Linked DNA regions of Saccharomyces cerevisiae S288C. The gene in region 2 interacts genetically with the main gene of each other region. Each region holds a gene or a part of one and is shown on either strand. Other genes may lie near its edges. The genes, in order: GLN3, URE2, URM1 and RXT2.

Evidence for each region.
Region 1: of URE2 (region 2) and GLN3, a mutation in one rescues a mutant of the other (synthetic rescue), as found in Saccharomyces cerevisiae (5 studies listed by BioGRID, with this or other methods).
Region 3: of URE2 (region 2) and URM1, changing one enhances a phenotype caused by changing the other (phenotypic enhancement), as found in Saccharomyces cerevisiae (5 studies listed by BioGRID, with this or other methods).
Region 4: mutations in URE2 (region 2) and RXT2 together harm fitness more than expected from each alone (negative genetic interaction), as found in Saccharomyces cerevisiae (4 studies listed by BioGRID, with this or other methods).

What each region holds. Positions count from the first base shown.
Region 1 is NC_001137.3:228,063-232,585, reverse strand, and holds GLN3 (nitrogen-responsive transcriptional regulator GLN3), read right to left. Parts: upstream 2,792-4,523; coding exon 599-2,791; downstream 1-598. Other genes in the region: YEN1 (crossover junction endodeoxyribonuclease), read right to left, coding at 1-125; YER039C-A (uncharacterized protein), read left to right, coding at 3,105-3,323; HVG1 (putative GDP-mannose transporter), read left to right, coding at 3,381-4,130; FMP49 (Fmp49p), read right to left, coding at 3,755-4,135; Smc5-Smc6 complex subunit KRE29, read left to right, coding at 4,334-4,523. UniProt on the Saccharomyces cerevisiae protein: Positive nitrogen regulatory protein. Required for the activation of transcription of a number of genes (including the allantoin pathway genes) in response to the replacement of glutamine by glutamate as source of nitrogen.
Region 2 is NC_001146.8:218,539-222,029, reverse strand, and holds URE2 (glutathione peroxidase), read left to right. Parts: upstream 1-1,828; coding exon 1,829-2,893; downstream 2,894-3,491. Other genes in the region: JJJ1 (Jjj1p), read left to right, coding at 1-1,371; ELA1 (elongin A), read left to right, coding at 3,368-3,491. UniProt on the Saccharomyces cerevisiae protein: Plays an important role in nitrogen catabolite repression. Down-regulates the expression of many genes involved in nitrogen utilization by inhibiting the GATA transcriptional activators GLN3 and GAT1.
Region 3 is NC_001141.2:340,790-343,381, reverse strand, and holds URM1 (ubiquitin-related modifier URM1), read right to left. Parts: upstream 847-2,592; coding exon 547-846; downstream 1-546. Other genes in the region: NAS2 (Nas2p), read left to right, coding at 1-388; long-chain fatty acid-CoA ligase FAA3, read right to left, coding at 1,954-2,592.
Region 4 is NC_001134.8:433,906-437,296, forward strand, and holds RXT2 (Rxt2p), read right to left. Parts: upstream 1,794-3,391; coding exon 501-1,793; downstream 1-500. Other genes in the region: PBY1 (putative tubulin tyrosine ligase), read left to right, coding at 1-392; YBR096W (uncharacterized protein), read left to right, coding at 2,116-2,808; ubiquitin-binding serine/threonine protein kinase VPS15, read left to right, coding at 3,046-3,391. UniProt on the Saccharomyces cerevisiae protein: Component of the RPD3C(L) histone deacetylase complex (HDAC) responsible for the deacetylation of lysine residues on the N-terminal part of the core histones (H2A, H2B, H3 and H4).

The DNA.
Region 1 (4,523 bases), on a different chromosome or scaffold from region 2:
GCGTCAATCGCGATTCTTGGAGCTCTTTTTTGCGATTTATTAAAGTCTATGACAAACTTTCTCAACGGAATTCTGGAATCTTGCAGATATGGCTTCAAAAATTCCCATATTTGTGAGACACCCATTTTCTTGTGCAGTATCCAGAATATACAAGTAGGTAAAATGCAATAGAACTGTCATTTCATTGGATGGACCATATACATTATTGTTTATGTGTCAGTCAAAAGCTAGTTAAATTATTCAACTGTGGGCATTATAAGAAAAAGAAAATGCCATTAAAAAAGGGCCGTTTAAAAAAAAAAAAGAAAGAGATAGACAAAAGAAACAGGGGAGATAGAGAAAGAATACCAAATAATAATTAGAGTGATATTACAAATTCCTAATAATATATGTCTACACATAAAAGTAATACAAATAGAACAGCCAGTGTTCAATGCCAATATACTACCATTTCTTTTTTTACAAGTAATTTGATCTGAAAATAGCAAAACAAATAATACCAATGCTCAGGATTGTGGTCAGAGGTAATGAAAATCTATCAATGCAACCGTTCAGTAATTATTAACATAATAAGAATAATGATAATGATAATACGCGGTCATATACCAAATTTTAACCAATCCAATTCGTCAGCAATTGCTGAACTTTCTTTAGAAGATCCTTTTGTGGAATTATCCTCACTGATCTTTCCGCCTGCACTCACATCTGCTTCATATTTTATAGGTGAAGTAGAGTCACTTGATAATCTATTGTTAAATTTGTGATTTGAGATAAACGAATTCGACTCCGAGTTCTGCAATTGTTGTGATAACAATGAGGTATGTGATTTTCTTGAAGAAGGTCTTGAGACACTCGGTGAATCTACAGGAGTATTAAAAATATCAAAATTTGGCTTTTGAGAGACAAAATTTGATGATCTTGAATTTGTTGAAACGCTATTGCTTGAATTCCAATTCTGTCTATTCGAATTCGTGTTTGTGTTGGAATTCACGTCCACTTGTTGCTGTTCGTGCAGTTGTTGCAAAGACGCAGCCATAAACGATGAGGAGTACGATGCATTGCGCGACATCTTTCTTCTTGGTATATTCATTCCTTGACGTTGGAAAGAATTTGATAATAGATTCTGCTGTAGAGGACTATTTGAGTTAAAGTTTGCGGACGATATAATTCTTGGTGAGGATGCGACACTATTTCCTGCACTTACATTATTTGTTGTGTTCATTAGGTTCATGTTCATGTTGAACTGCTGTGAATTAGCGCTATTAGGTGAAGGTTTTGGTAATATCGGAACAACAGATCTGGATGAAGATTTACTGGAACTTGAGGTGTTCGATGAAGTACTACTTCGTCTTGAAGACCTTCTAAAATTAGGAGTAACAGTGTTCGAATTGTGACGCATTAAGTTATTAGAATTCAAATTTGCATTGCTTGCTCCATTAAAATTTGCGTTACTACTATTATACGATTGGCTGTTCATGAGGACCGGGGAGGGGACTGAGTTGAAGTTATAGCCTCCCCTATTTACATTAAGGATATTATTAGTATTACCGATGTTGTCTCTAATGATTTCTTCAGGTATCACTCTAGATAAAGAGTTTTGTTGTAGTGATTTTTTCCTCGATCGTATGGGTTTAGCATTTGTAGTGGTTACTGAAGTTGAGGCAGTTGCAGGTGCACTTGGAGTATTTTGTGCAATGTTTGGGTCCGTTTGTTTGGCTCTCTTCTTTGAAATCCTCTTTTTGATAACGTCCGATTTTAAGGATAATGGCCTCATGGTACCATGTAATTTCTGGAAAAGACCGCAGGCATTGCAAAGAGTATTCCCCTCTGGGCTTCTCCTCCAAAGCGGTGTCTTGAAAGTTTTACAATTGAAACATTGTATCAGAGGTTTTTTATTTTGTCCTGATGGTTCCATATTGGATATACTGGAAGATACTGAGGCAGCTCTTTTGAAATTGGCCAGGGACGTGGACGACATTGGCTTGATAAGTGAGTTTTTTCTTACAGAATTTGTTGTGTTGGATGAAGATAATCCTATCGAATCGCTCTTCTTCAGAAAAGGATGCTGGATATTACTATTGTTGCTATTATTATTATTGGTAATGTTCATAGCGGATGAAGATGAGTTGTTGTTTTGTAGTTTGTAGATGTTGAAGGAATGGTGGGACTGCGCATTAGTATTTGAGTTGTTATTGATAGATGGCTGGTTGATGTTGCTGTTGGACGTGCTGGAATTATACGGGAACAGTGAGGATTTGGAGACGCTGTTGCCGAGGGAACCGTGGTTGTATTGCGGTATGTCGGAAGTAAAGCTGTTAGGAGCACTAATAGTAGCTGAACCGCTCGAGTTGCTGGGCGTCATGTTGAATTGGTCCACGTTAAAGTCCCAAAGTTGTGCAATTTCACCATTTTGTTGGTTGGATGCGGCTATGTCGATGGGCTGAGTTGTGGCAAGTGAATCAAACATCGCAATATCATCATCCATATGATTGGTAGCTGGTGTGGTGTCCTTGACCGTCTTAGTAGTCACGCTGGTCGTGGCAGCTGCTGTAAAAGGAGACACGAAGTCCGTAAAATATAAATCATCGGGCAGTGCCTCCAGCATTGAGTCGAATGTGCCGCCGTTTAATCCACTGGCAAATGCTATATCCTCCTCGTTTTCACCGGTGTTGCCACTACTCTGGCTCCTACTGTCACCAGTTTGTCTCGGCTCTTCATTACTTCGACCATGCACGTCCAGATGACTATTCAGCAGGTCGTACAGCTTCGAATTTTCGGGGTCGTCTTGCATTTGTTTGTTGGTGGGGGAAAAGGGGGCCCTGTGCTCTCTCTCGTCTCTCTTTCTTACACACTCTGTTATTGTGGGATGGGCTACTGCGCTGACATTAGCTTACCACTCTTGAACATCTTTCTCTGTCTTGCAAGATGACTCTTTCCACTCTCTCAGCATTGCCATGTCACTTTCTTTCGGGAACCTGTCCGCCGGGTAATAGAGCAAAAAATGTGAATATATCATATTAAGAATGTTTAAAGGGCCAGGTAGAGATAGAGTACAAGAATGGAAGGTTGAAAAGCTGTAAAGAGATCAAGAAGGTGTGGTAATTATGAGCAAGCATAAGCATGAATGGACGGAATCAGTGGCCAACTCTGGGCCGGCTTCAATCTTATCTTACTGCGCGTCCTCGATTTTGATGACAGTAACGAACAAATTCGTGGTTAACCTGGACAACTTTAACATGAACTTTGTGATGTTGTTTGTACAATCACTGGTGTGCACTGTGACGCTATGTATCCTACGAATTGTAGGCGTTGCTAATTTTTGATCTTTGAACAGGACAGATGTAAAAAACTGGTTTCCAATTTCTTTGCTGCTCGTATTGATGATTTATACGTCGTCAAAGAGCTTACAATACCTTGCCGTGCCCATCTACACAATTTTCAAGAATCTGACGATCATTCTCATTGCTTATGGCGAGGTCCTCTTCTTTGGCGGAAAAGTCACTTCTATGGAGTTGACGTCATTTATTATGATGGTCCTTTCATCTGTAGTGGCCACCTGGGGCGATCAGCAGGCCATTGCAATCAAAGCATCATCTTTGGAGGATCTCGATCAGGAACTTGTTGAGTCAACCATCTTTGTGTTGAATCCGGGGTACCTCTGGATGTTCACCAATTGTATTTCGTCTGCATTGTTCGTTTTGATTATGCGGAAGAGAATTCGGCTGACTAACTTTAAAGACTATGATACTATGTTTTATAACAACGTTCTGGCATTGCCTTTGCTGCTAGTCTTTTCCTTCATTATGGAAGATTGGTCCACAAAGAATTTGTCTGTGAACTTGTCCGCCGACTCACTGGCAGCAATGGTCATCAGTGGGCTCATGTCCGTGGGGATATCGTACTGTTCCGGCTGGTGTGTTCGTGTAACTTCCTCTACAACGTATTCTATGGTTGGTGCTTTGAACAAATTGCCCATAGCGTTGGCGGGATTGGTGTTCTTTGACGCTCCAAAAAACTTTTTGTCCTTCTTTTCTATCTTTCTAGGATTTCTGTCTGGCCTGCTGTACGCTGTGGCTAAACAGAAAAAGATACAACAGCAAAAAGTTCTAGCAGCTACTCTTGAGAAGTAGTACATTCTTCATTTGCTCAAGCAAAATATACATTTATATTCATTTATATGGGGTCTTCTTTGTATTTGTTTTAGGTTATTCCTTTTTTTATGTTACATATTATGTCAGCATCGTTTTATGAAATATATTCATATATAATTTTTCAAGTAAATAGCAATAAAGTGATAAAATTTTGTTAGACGCACAAAAGGGCAGTGTCACAAATGGGAAGCGTGAACTCATCACCGAATGAAGAGTTTGAAACTGTGCCAGATTCACAAATTTCAGGGTTTGATTCTCCTTTGATACCGACTAGTGTGGGAAGTTACTTTCGCGATGACGATGACGATGAGAAGGTGCATCCCAACTTTATTAGTGATCCTGAGAACGACAGTTTGAATAGCGACGAAGAGT
Region 2 (3,491 bases):
GAGATTTTAAGTGGTAAGCGACTGGGGAAATTTTCCGAGTATCAAGATGATGTATTCGAACAGGATATTAATAGTATTGGCTATTTGAAAGCCTGCGATAACTTTATTAACAAGACGGATAAACTTTTATATCCTTTATTTGGATATTCGCCAACGGATTATGAATATTTGAAACATTTCTATAAGACTTGGTCAGCGTTCAATACCTTGAAAAGTTTTAGCTGGAAAGACGAGTACATGTACTCTAAAAACTATGACAGAAGAACCAAGAGGGAAGTTAATAGAAGAAATGAGAAGGCTAGGCAACAAGCTCGAAATGAATACAACAAAACCGTGAAAAGGTTTGTAGTTTTCATAAAAAAGCTCGATAAAAGAATGAAAGAAGGTGCAAAAATTGCAGAAGAACAGCGTAAACTAAAAGAACAACAGAGGAAAAATGAGTTAAATAACAGAAGAAAGTTTGGGAACGACAACAATGACGAAGAAAAATTTCATTTACAAAGCTGGCAAACGGTAAAAGAAGAAAACTGGGATGAACTGGAAAAGGTATATGATAATTTTGGAGAATTCGAAAATTCTAAGAATGATAAGGAAGGTGAAGTATTGATTTACGAGTGTTTTATCTGCAACAAGACATTTAAGTCGGAAAAGCAATTGAAAAACCACATAAACACTAAACTGCATAAGAAAAATATGGAAGAGATACGGAAAGAAATGGAAGAGGAAAACATAACGCTTGGGTTGGATAATCTCTCCGATCTCGAGAAATTTGATTCAGCAGATGAAAGTGTTAAAGAAAAAGAAGATATTGATCTGCAAGCATTGCAAGCTGAACTCGCTGAAATTGAAAGAAAACTGGCAGAATCGTCTTCTGAAGACGAAAGTGAAGATGACAATCTCAACATAGAAATGGATATAGAGGTAGAAGACGTCAGTTCGGATGAAAATGTACATGTGAATACGAAGAATAAAAAGAAAAGAAAAAAGAAAAAAAAAGCAAAGGTTGACACAGAAACAGAGGAATCTGAATCGTTCGATGATACTAAAGACAAACGGAGTAATGAGTTGGATGATCTTTTGGCATCACTAGGAGACAAGGGCTTACAAACGGATGACGATGAAGATTGGTCTACTAAAGCGAAAAAGAAAAAGGGCAAACAACCTAAAAAGAATTCTAAATCCACAAAAAGCACTCCGTCCTTGTCGACTCTACCGTCCTCTATGTCTCCAACCTCCGCGATCGAGGTGTGCACTACATGCGGAGAATCATTTGATAGTCGAAATAAGCTATTCAACCACGTGAAGATAGCAGGGCATGCGGCAGTGAAAAACGTAGTGAAAAGAAAGAAAGTCAAGACCAAAAGAATATAGTGACACCAAACCATAGAACGCCGAAACAGAAATTATTAGTAGAGCTGTGTAGAGTTTAATTTAACTGTAGTCAATGTGGAAAATGAATACCGACTGTTGTCTGGAATAACAACATTAATCCGGGTGACGCAGCCTGGAATTTTTTTTTCAATTCTCGCCGAATAGGAGGATTGATGAGCTGCCACTATTGAATTTTTGAGGAAGAGTGGCTTCAGCATGTAGTTTTCCTTTCTACTAGGCCAGAAAAGCAACTATACAAAGACGAAAGCTTCCTTACTCGAGGTTGAAAAGAATAGCAAAAATCTTTCCTTTTCAAACAGCTCATTTGGAATTGTTTATAGCACTGAATTGAATCGAAGAGGAATAAAGATCCCCCGTACGAACTTCTTTATTTTTAGTTTTTCATTTTTTGTTATTAGTCATATTGTTTTAAGCTGCAAATTAAGTTGTACACCAAATGATGAATAACAACGGCAACCAAGTGTCGAATCTCTCCAATGCGCTCCGTCAAGTAAACATAGGAAACAGGAACAGTAATACAACCACCGATCAAAGTAATATAAATTTTGAATTTTCAACAGGTGTAAATAATAATAATAATAACAATAGCAGTAGTAATAACAATAATGTTCAAAACAATAACAGCGGCCGCAATGGTAGCCAAAATAATGATAACGAGAATAATATCAAGAATACCTTAGAACAACATCGACAACAACAACAGGCATTTTCGGATATGAGTCACGTGGAGTATTCCAGAATTACAAAATTTTTTCAAGAACAACCACTGGAGGGATATACCCTTTTCTCTCACAGGTCTGCGCCTAATGGATTCAAAGTTGCTATAGTACTAAGTGAACTTGGATTTCATTATAACACAATCTTCCTAGATTTCAATCTTGGCGAACATAGGGCCCCCGAATTTGTGTCTGTGAACCCTAATGCAAGAGTTCCAGCTTTAATCGATCATGGTATGGACAACTTGTCTATTTGGGAATCAGGGGCGATTTTATTACATTTGGTAAATAAATATTACAAAGAGACTGGTAATCCATTACTCTGGTCCGATGATTTAGCTGACCAATCACAAATCAACGCATGGTTGTTCTTCCAAACGTCAGGGCATGCGCCAATGATTGGACAAGCTTTACATTTCAGATACTTCCATTCACAAAAGATAGCAAGTGCTGTAGAAAGATATACGGATGAGGTTAGAAGAGTTTACGGTGTAGTGGAGATGGCCTTGGCTGAACGTAGAGAAGCGCTGGTGATGGAATTAGACACGGAAAATGCGGCTGCATACTCAGCTGGTACAACACCAATGTCACAAAGTCGTTTCTTTGATTATCCCGTATGGCTTGTAGGAGATAAATTAACTATAGCAGATTTGGCCTTTGTCCCATGGAATAATGTCGTGGATAGAATTGGCATTAATATCAAAATTGAATTTCCAGAAGTTTACAAATGGACGAAGCATATGATGAGAAGACCCGCGGTCATCAAGGCATTGCGTGGTGAATGAAGGCTGCTTTAAAAACAAGAAAGAAAGAAGAAGGAGGAAAAGAAGGTTATAAGGGTATGTATATAGGCAGACAAAAAGGAAAATTAAGTGCAAATATAAACAAAAATGTCATAGAAGTATATAATAGTTTTGAAATTTCTGTTGCTTCTATTTATTCTTTGTTACCCCAACCACAGAATTCCAAAATTTTGTTTTATGTAATAATTGAAATACTATAAATTTCTCAACTATATTCGGGGTGTTGTCACTGTATATCTGGCGCTTTCAATAAAGCTGGTACAATTGCGTATTTTTCTCGGCATTTGCCACGATGGGCTTAAGAAAGATCACAATAGAAAATTTCAAATATTTAATATTTGCGAAGAAGGGATTTGTTCAGTTATGACGATTAGATACATATGTAACTTACATGCAAACGGTTTTTGTTCATGGAAATACGTTCTAGTGAATGTATAAATCGATTGATGTCGAGATATGAAAAGTTTACAAACACTATGTGAAATCTCATTGATGAGAAATCATTCAAACATACAATCTGTGAGTAATGTCCCCTATCACTTATTAAAGAGGATACTGCAGAAAGTAAAAATACCACAAC
Region 3 (2,592 bases), on a different chromosome or scaffold from region 2:
TTTAAATCACCTTTTGCAAAGATCACACGTCTTACTAAACCAGCACTTTGATAATATGAACGTTAAGTCAAACCAAGATGCAAGAAGGAATAACGACGATCAAGCTATTCAGTATACCATCCCTTTTGCATTTATCAGTGAGGTAGTACCCGGTAGCCCTTCAGATAAAGCAGACATAAAGGTTGATGATAAGCTGATTTCTATTGGTAATGTGCATGCGGCAAACCACTCTAAACTTCAAAACATTCAGATGGTTGTAATGAAAAATGAAGACAGGCCACTTCCCGTCCTTCTCTTGAGAGAAGGGCAAATCCTAAAGACATCGCTAACACCTTCGAGAAACTGGAATGGTAGAGGTCTTTTGGGTTGTAGGATACAAGAGCTATAATCTTCGTCATGTACTAAAAAAAACCAATCCAGTTATTACTATTACTTTTTATACTATCTGCATATTACCTACGTTATCTAACTTGTGATTCATTCAAGCTGTACAGCACTTTATATATATATATGTAGCTGCTTCTTAAAAATTATTTGCTGCTATTTTTAACCACCATGTAATGTTGAAGTAAAAGAGATGATGTCACCGTCTTCCAATATGTAGTCTTTTTCGCCTTCGAGCTCCCAATCGGTGTCGTTGATTAATGTGATGATACCGGGTCTTATAGAATCATCTTCGATGAAGATACTAACGTCATTAGGGTTATTGATCATAGTAGATACAATGTGGTCAATCAAATCGCCCACTGTGACAGGATCTTCTTTGTCCATCTTAATTTTATGTACTCTTTGTTTTCCAAAAATAGCATCAAGTCCACCTAGAAACTCCACTTTCACGTTTACCATCCCGATTTTGCTATTAACCTATCTCGTTTTAGTATCAGAAATCAGTATTGTTTTCTGCTTTGGGAATTTTTGAGCTCTCCATACCGTCTGCCAGTAGTATTTCATTAGGTCGATGCGATGCCATTACTTTGTCGTTATATTTTTTCTGCCGAAGTGGGCGACAATGTAATTAAAAAAAAAAGTCTAAATAAGATTGAGAACTTGGGAAGGAACATAATCCGGTATGTGAAATCAATTGAATCTATCCTCTGTCTCGGTATAATATTATACAAGTTAGGAGAATAGTTATATATAAATATATGTGAACTTGTAGAACTGATGGCATTTGATGGCCGTCACATGGTACGCCACTAAAACCTTGATTAAGTAGATTAGATTAGACTAGCAAGTGTTGGTAACGTTTTGTAGGAAAGAGTCTCAAAGTACCCAGCGCCAACTTTTGCTAAAGTCAATCATAAAATATATGTTTTTAAAATATGTAGGTATGCCGTGCATTTTTATTCTTTTTTAATGTTTAGCTTTCAAAAAAGCTAAAATAAACCATAAGCGTTATTCTTATTATATTGATAGTAGAAGAGGAAGAGTGGTTATCTTTACTCAAATTAACGATTGCTTTTATTTCTTACATTAAGGTCGAAACTATTTGCTACTATGAAAGCCAAGCAGAAACAAACAAGACCTTATTAAGATTGATGTTTCAAGCTATGCATTCCCAATTCAGAAGAACAAGGGAAGAGCATAAGACGGCTATCTGCATTTAACAGTAGTGGTCACTCCTACAGTAGTCATACTTCTCAAGCCTACTTTCGGTATGGCTTTTAAAGTCATAAAATAACGAATAGTTCGTATACCGCTCATGTGGCAAACTCAATAGCAAAATGTGATTTCATATCACGAAGTTTTTTATATTTTTTAATTATACAATTGTAATTTGTATTACGGAAATGAAACATGTTTGTATGTTATGTAGTATATCAATAATTGATTTACCGCATCTGTAAAAGAGAACCATTTATCACGCACATAGTTTTAGTATTCACTAATCGGTGCTCTATGGAAGTACGAGACACCGTGCATAGATGGAAGGGGAAGGTAATAAGCTTCTCTCTAAGAATTTTCTTTGTAAACCCTTTCGACTTCTGATTTAACAGCGGCTAAGATTTCTCTTCTCTTTAATTTTTGAGCAGATGTGACAAAGCCATTTTCAGGTGTCCATTCTTCATCAAAGAAAACAATACCACATAATAGTTCAATACCAACCAAACCTTGAGATTTGGCTGTTGCGATCATCTCTTTGAAAACAGCATTTCGTAATGCTTTGTCATGGATATAGTTTTCGATGTCTTCACCCTTTTTCATAATACGCAATTTGACAGCAAATTTAGATAGGGGTCCTGGGTTGGGTACCACAATACCCACCGGTTTAACCCTACTTTCATCGGCATAAACACAGATATTTTTCACATAGGAGTTTGACCTGTAAACAGATTCTAACTTTTCTAATGCAATATATTCACCATTTAGGGTTTTAACCAAATTCTTTCTTCTATCAATAATTTTAAGTTGTCCCTTGGGAGTCCATTCAACAATATCACCAGTACGAAACCATCCATCGTAAGTGAAAGAGACCGCCGTTTCTATTGGATTCTTATAATATTCAGAACAGACCGGCGCACCCTTTAGAAGCAATTCACCTTGATTGTTTTTTGCATAATAACCTAGGTCCTTAACATCCACCAATTTGGC
Region 4 (3,391 bases), on a different chromosome or scaffold from region 2:
ATTCTTCTGTTTTGGAGTTTGACTCCATAGAGGAAATTCCAAATGAGAGAAAGTCCAATATTAAGGAGCAAATCCATAGCATAACGAACGACGTTTTCTTAGCTGCTGTAAATGTAAATAGATTAAACTTCCAACCGTTACCAAACGCATTTGAAACATATGGCGTAGACTTTTTGATTGATTCGAATTACGAAGTTAAATTACTAGAGATCAACGCTTTCCCAGACTTCAAACAAACTGGGAAAGATTTGAAGAACCTCATTGATGAATTATTTGATGACACTGTCAAATACTGTGTTACCCCCATCTTTAACGAGAATAGAAATAAGACAGATGATGAAACAGACCCGAACTTCGTAAAAGTCATTGATTACACTTCAAACGGTTGGTGAAACAAAAAAAAAAAAAGAACCCATCCTAAAATACTGTTATTATTACTAAATAGTGCTAAATAATACATATGCCTTGATTTTATTTCCGAAATTTTTTGTTTTGTCAATTTAGGCTCTATTAGCTTCTTCATCAGGTTCATTATCGTCTACAACACCGTCTTCCATGGTATTTTCAATTTCTTCCTCAAAATTTGTTGTCTTATTTGTTGTAGCACTGATCAGACCTCTCTTCACAACACGTAGAGCCACCGGGATAGTAATATCATCGTCAGATATACCCAAATATTCCCGACTCCAATTTAAAATCCTACCTCTTATTCTATTGGCTTTTATTACAGACTTTCTGATTTTTTGTAAGTTTCTTATGAATTCTTTATTCCTCTGTAGTGCAATCTGCGACAGCTGTCGGGCAGACTCAATTTCCTCATTTAACTGTTGTTGTTCGGCCGCTGTTAATGTTGATATAGAAGCAGAACCGGAAGAAGATGGCAGCAACGATAACAGCGCATTAGATTGTTCCAACCTTGGCAATGCAAAAAAAGGATCTTCCTCTCCAAATTCTTCCATGCCATTATTGATATGACCAGCTTCAGTAGACAAACTATTCGAGTTAACCTCGTTGATATTGTTTTTGTTGTTAATGTCATCCTCGTCGCTTGCCCCTCTATCCTCTGGAAGGGTCAAATTGTGATTATAAGATGGTAGGTTCAAGTTAGATTCATAAATTGGTTCAGGATGATCTCCTAAAAAAACCTCCAAAAACTGGGAATATCTAACAACTGACATCTGTTCTTTTTCAATCATTAGAATTATTTGCAAGGCTAAATTTTTCAAAATTGGGCTTGAAAATGTCCTTGAGATAGTTTTATGATTTATTATATCCCCTAGGGAAAGAATGGGAGTCAAAATCTCCTTTACATTCACTAGTTTTGATAGGTCGTCATCGTCTTCTTCGCCGTAATACTCATCAGTGATATTTTCGTCTTCCTTCTCACTACCATCGATGTCGTTTTCATCACCGACTAAAACAGGCTCGACGTTGATGTCAGGTGTGAATTTTATTCTTTTGCGTCTACTATCAGTGACAATATTTGTTTGCAGAAGGCGATGCTCCGAACCGTTATAGAACACAGTTTGCTCAATCATTGGCTTAGAATTGTTCAAGTCTCTTCTTGTTACTACTTCGCTTCTCTGCAAAAGTTTGTTACCTCTGTTAGAGGATATGCCAGTGGCCTCAGGATAGATTAGTTTTCCATCAAGGGATCTTTTCAGTACCTGATAGTTACCGCTTTTTTCCTTTATTATCCTTCTAGTAAATGTGCTAATTATATTCGATTCATTAGCTAACACACTCTTGCTTTCCAATTCTGCGTTGTTTTTCATACTGCTCCTAATAGTCATCTCGATCAACAAGAAGCAACAGCTGAGATATTTGTTTCTCAACCTCTTTTTTGCAGGAGATGCTGTCATCAAGCAACGTTTCTTCTATTTGAAAGCGATTGTTTTACCAGAACAAAGTTCGCTACCCGGCTTCGGTCCTCTTGGGTATAGGAGACAATAATGATCTTCGAATAACGCCGTTATAAAGTGAACATTATAATTATCCGCTTAAAGGCTTTTTAGTAATTTTGTAAAACAATTGCTTCTAATTTCAAGACTTCCAAAAGGTTTCTCGAGTAACTAGTGCTTTCCAATATCTACAACAAAATAAAATAATAGAATAATGGGTGTTTGCACTATTTTTAGGTGGCTCTTTGCTGCTTACTTGCTCTCTTCATATAAGTCGCTTCCTGGGGCATATTTTGTTAGGTTTTATTATTATGTTATTCAAAACTTGTTCTTGCCTATGTTTACAGGGTTTGAAACCGAGAATATTAAGAAACTTGAGAAAAATGAATATGGCTGTTTCTCGTACACCAGCCTAGATACCTATGCCTCTCCATTCGAATGTGACTTCTACTTTCATAAGAGCAATAGCACCTATTTTGCGGAATTGGACATTTCAAGAGGTAATCTCATGTGCAAGATTTTTCAAAAATTGATGCTGAATTCCAAGCATTATCCATATATTCCAGTTGCGAACGTTTTCACTAATTTCTTGAAGGAAATCAAGCCTTTTCAAAAGTACTCGGTTTCATCAAGGATTATCTGTTGGGATGAGAAATGGATTTACGTCATGAGTAGATTCACAATTAAAAAGGGCACCGTCTTATGCTCATTATCATTGACCAAATACGTCCTTAAGGACGGTAGAAAGACCATCAAACCAAAGGATGCTCTTGAATACTGTGGTTTATATAATGAGAAGGTCGCCAAAATTTCTGAGGACAATCTAAAGCTTTTAACCGAGCGTTGTGGTTTCCACGAGACAGTACCATTGGAAAACTTGAGCCAAGAGTACTGTTCAGAAATCTAACTTCTATACACATATAGCCGGTATTATAAAATATATAAATCTATCTTCTTTCAAAAGTTTCTCTGTGCAGTCTGCGTTATATTTTATCTTCGGTAGAAAACAAGGTAAATTTCCCTTATTTTTCAACATCATAAAAATGAAAAACAGATATATCTTAAGTAAGATACTTAAGCAGACAAGTTGAATTGGAGAAATACAAAAGCTGTAAGGTTATCAAAAAGGAAGGCATACAGTATAATGGGGGCACAATTATCACTAGTGGTCCAAGCATCACCTTCCATAGCCATTTTTTCATATATCGATGTCTTAGAGGAAGTACACTACGTTTCACAGTTAAACTCATCAAGATTCTTAAAAACATGCAAGGCACTGGACCCTAACGGCGAAATTGTTATCAAAGTGTTTATTAAACCAAAAGACCAATATAGCTTACGACCTTTTCTCCAACGTATAAGGGCTCAATCGTTTAAGTTGGGACAACTACCGCACGTTTTAAACTACAGTAAATTGATCGAGACAAATAGAGCCGGCTACATGATACGGCAGCACTTAAAAAATAATTTATATGACAGATTGAGTTTGA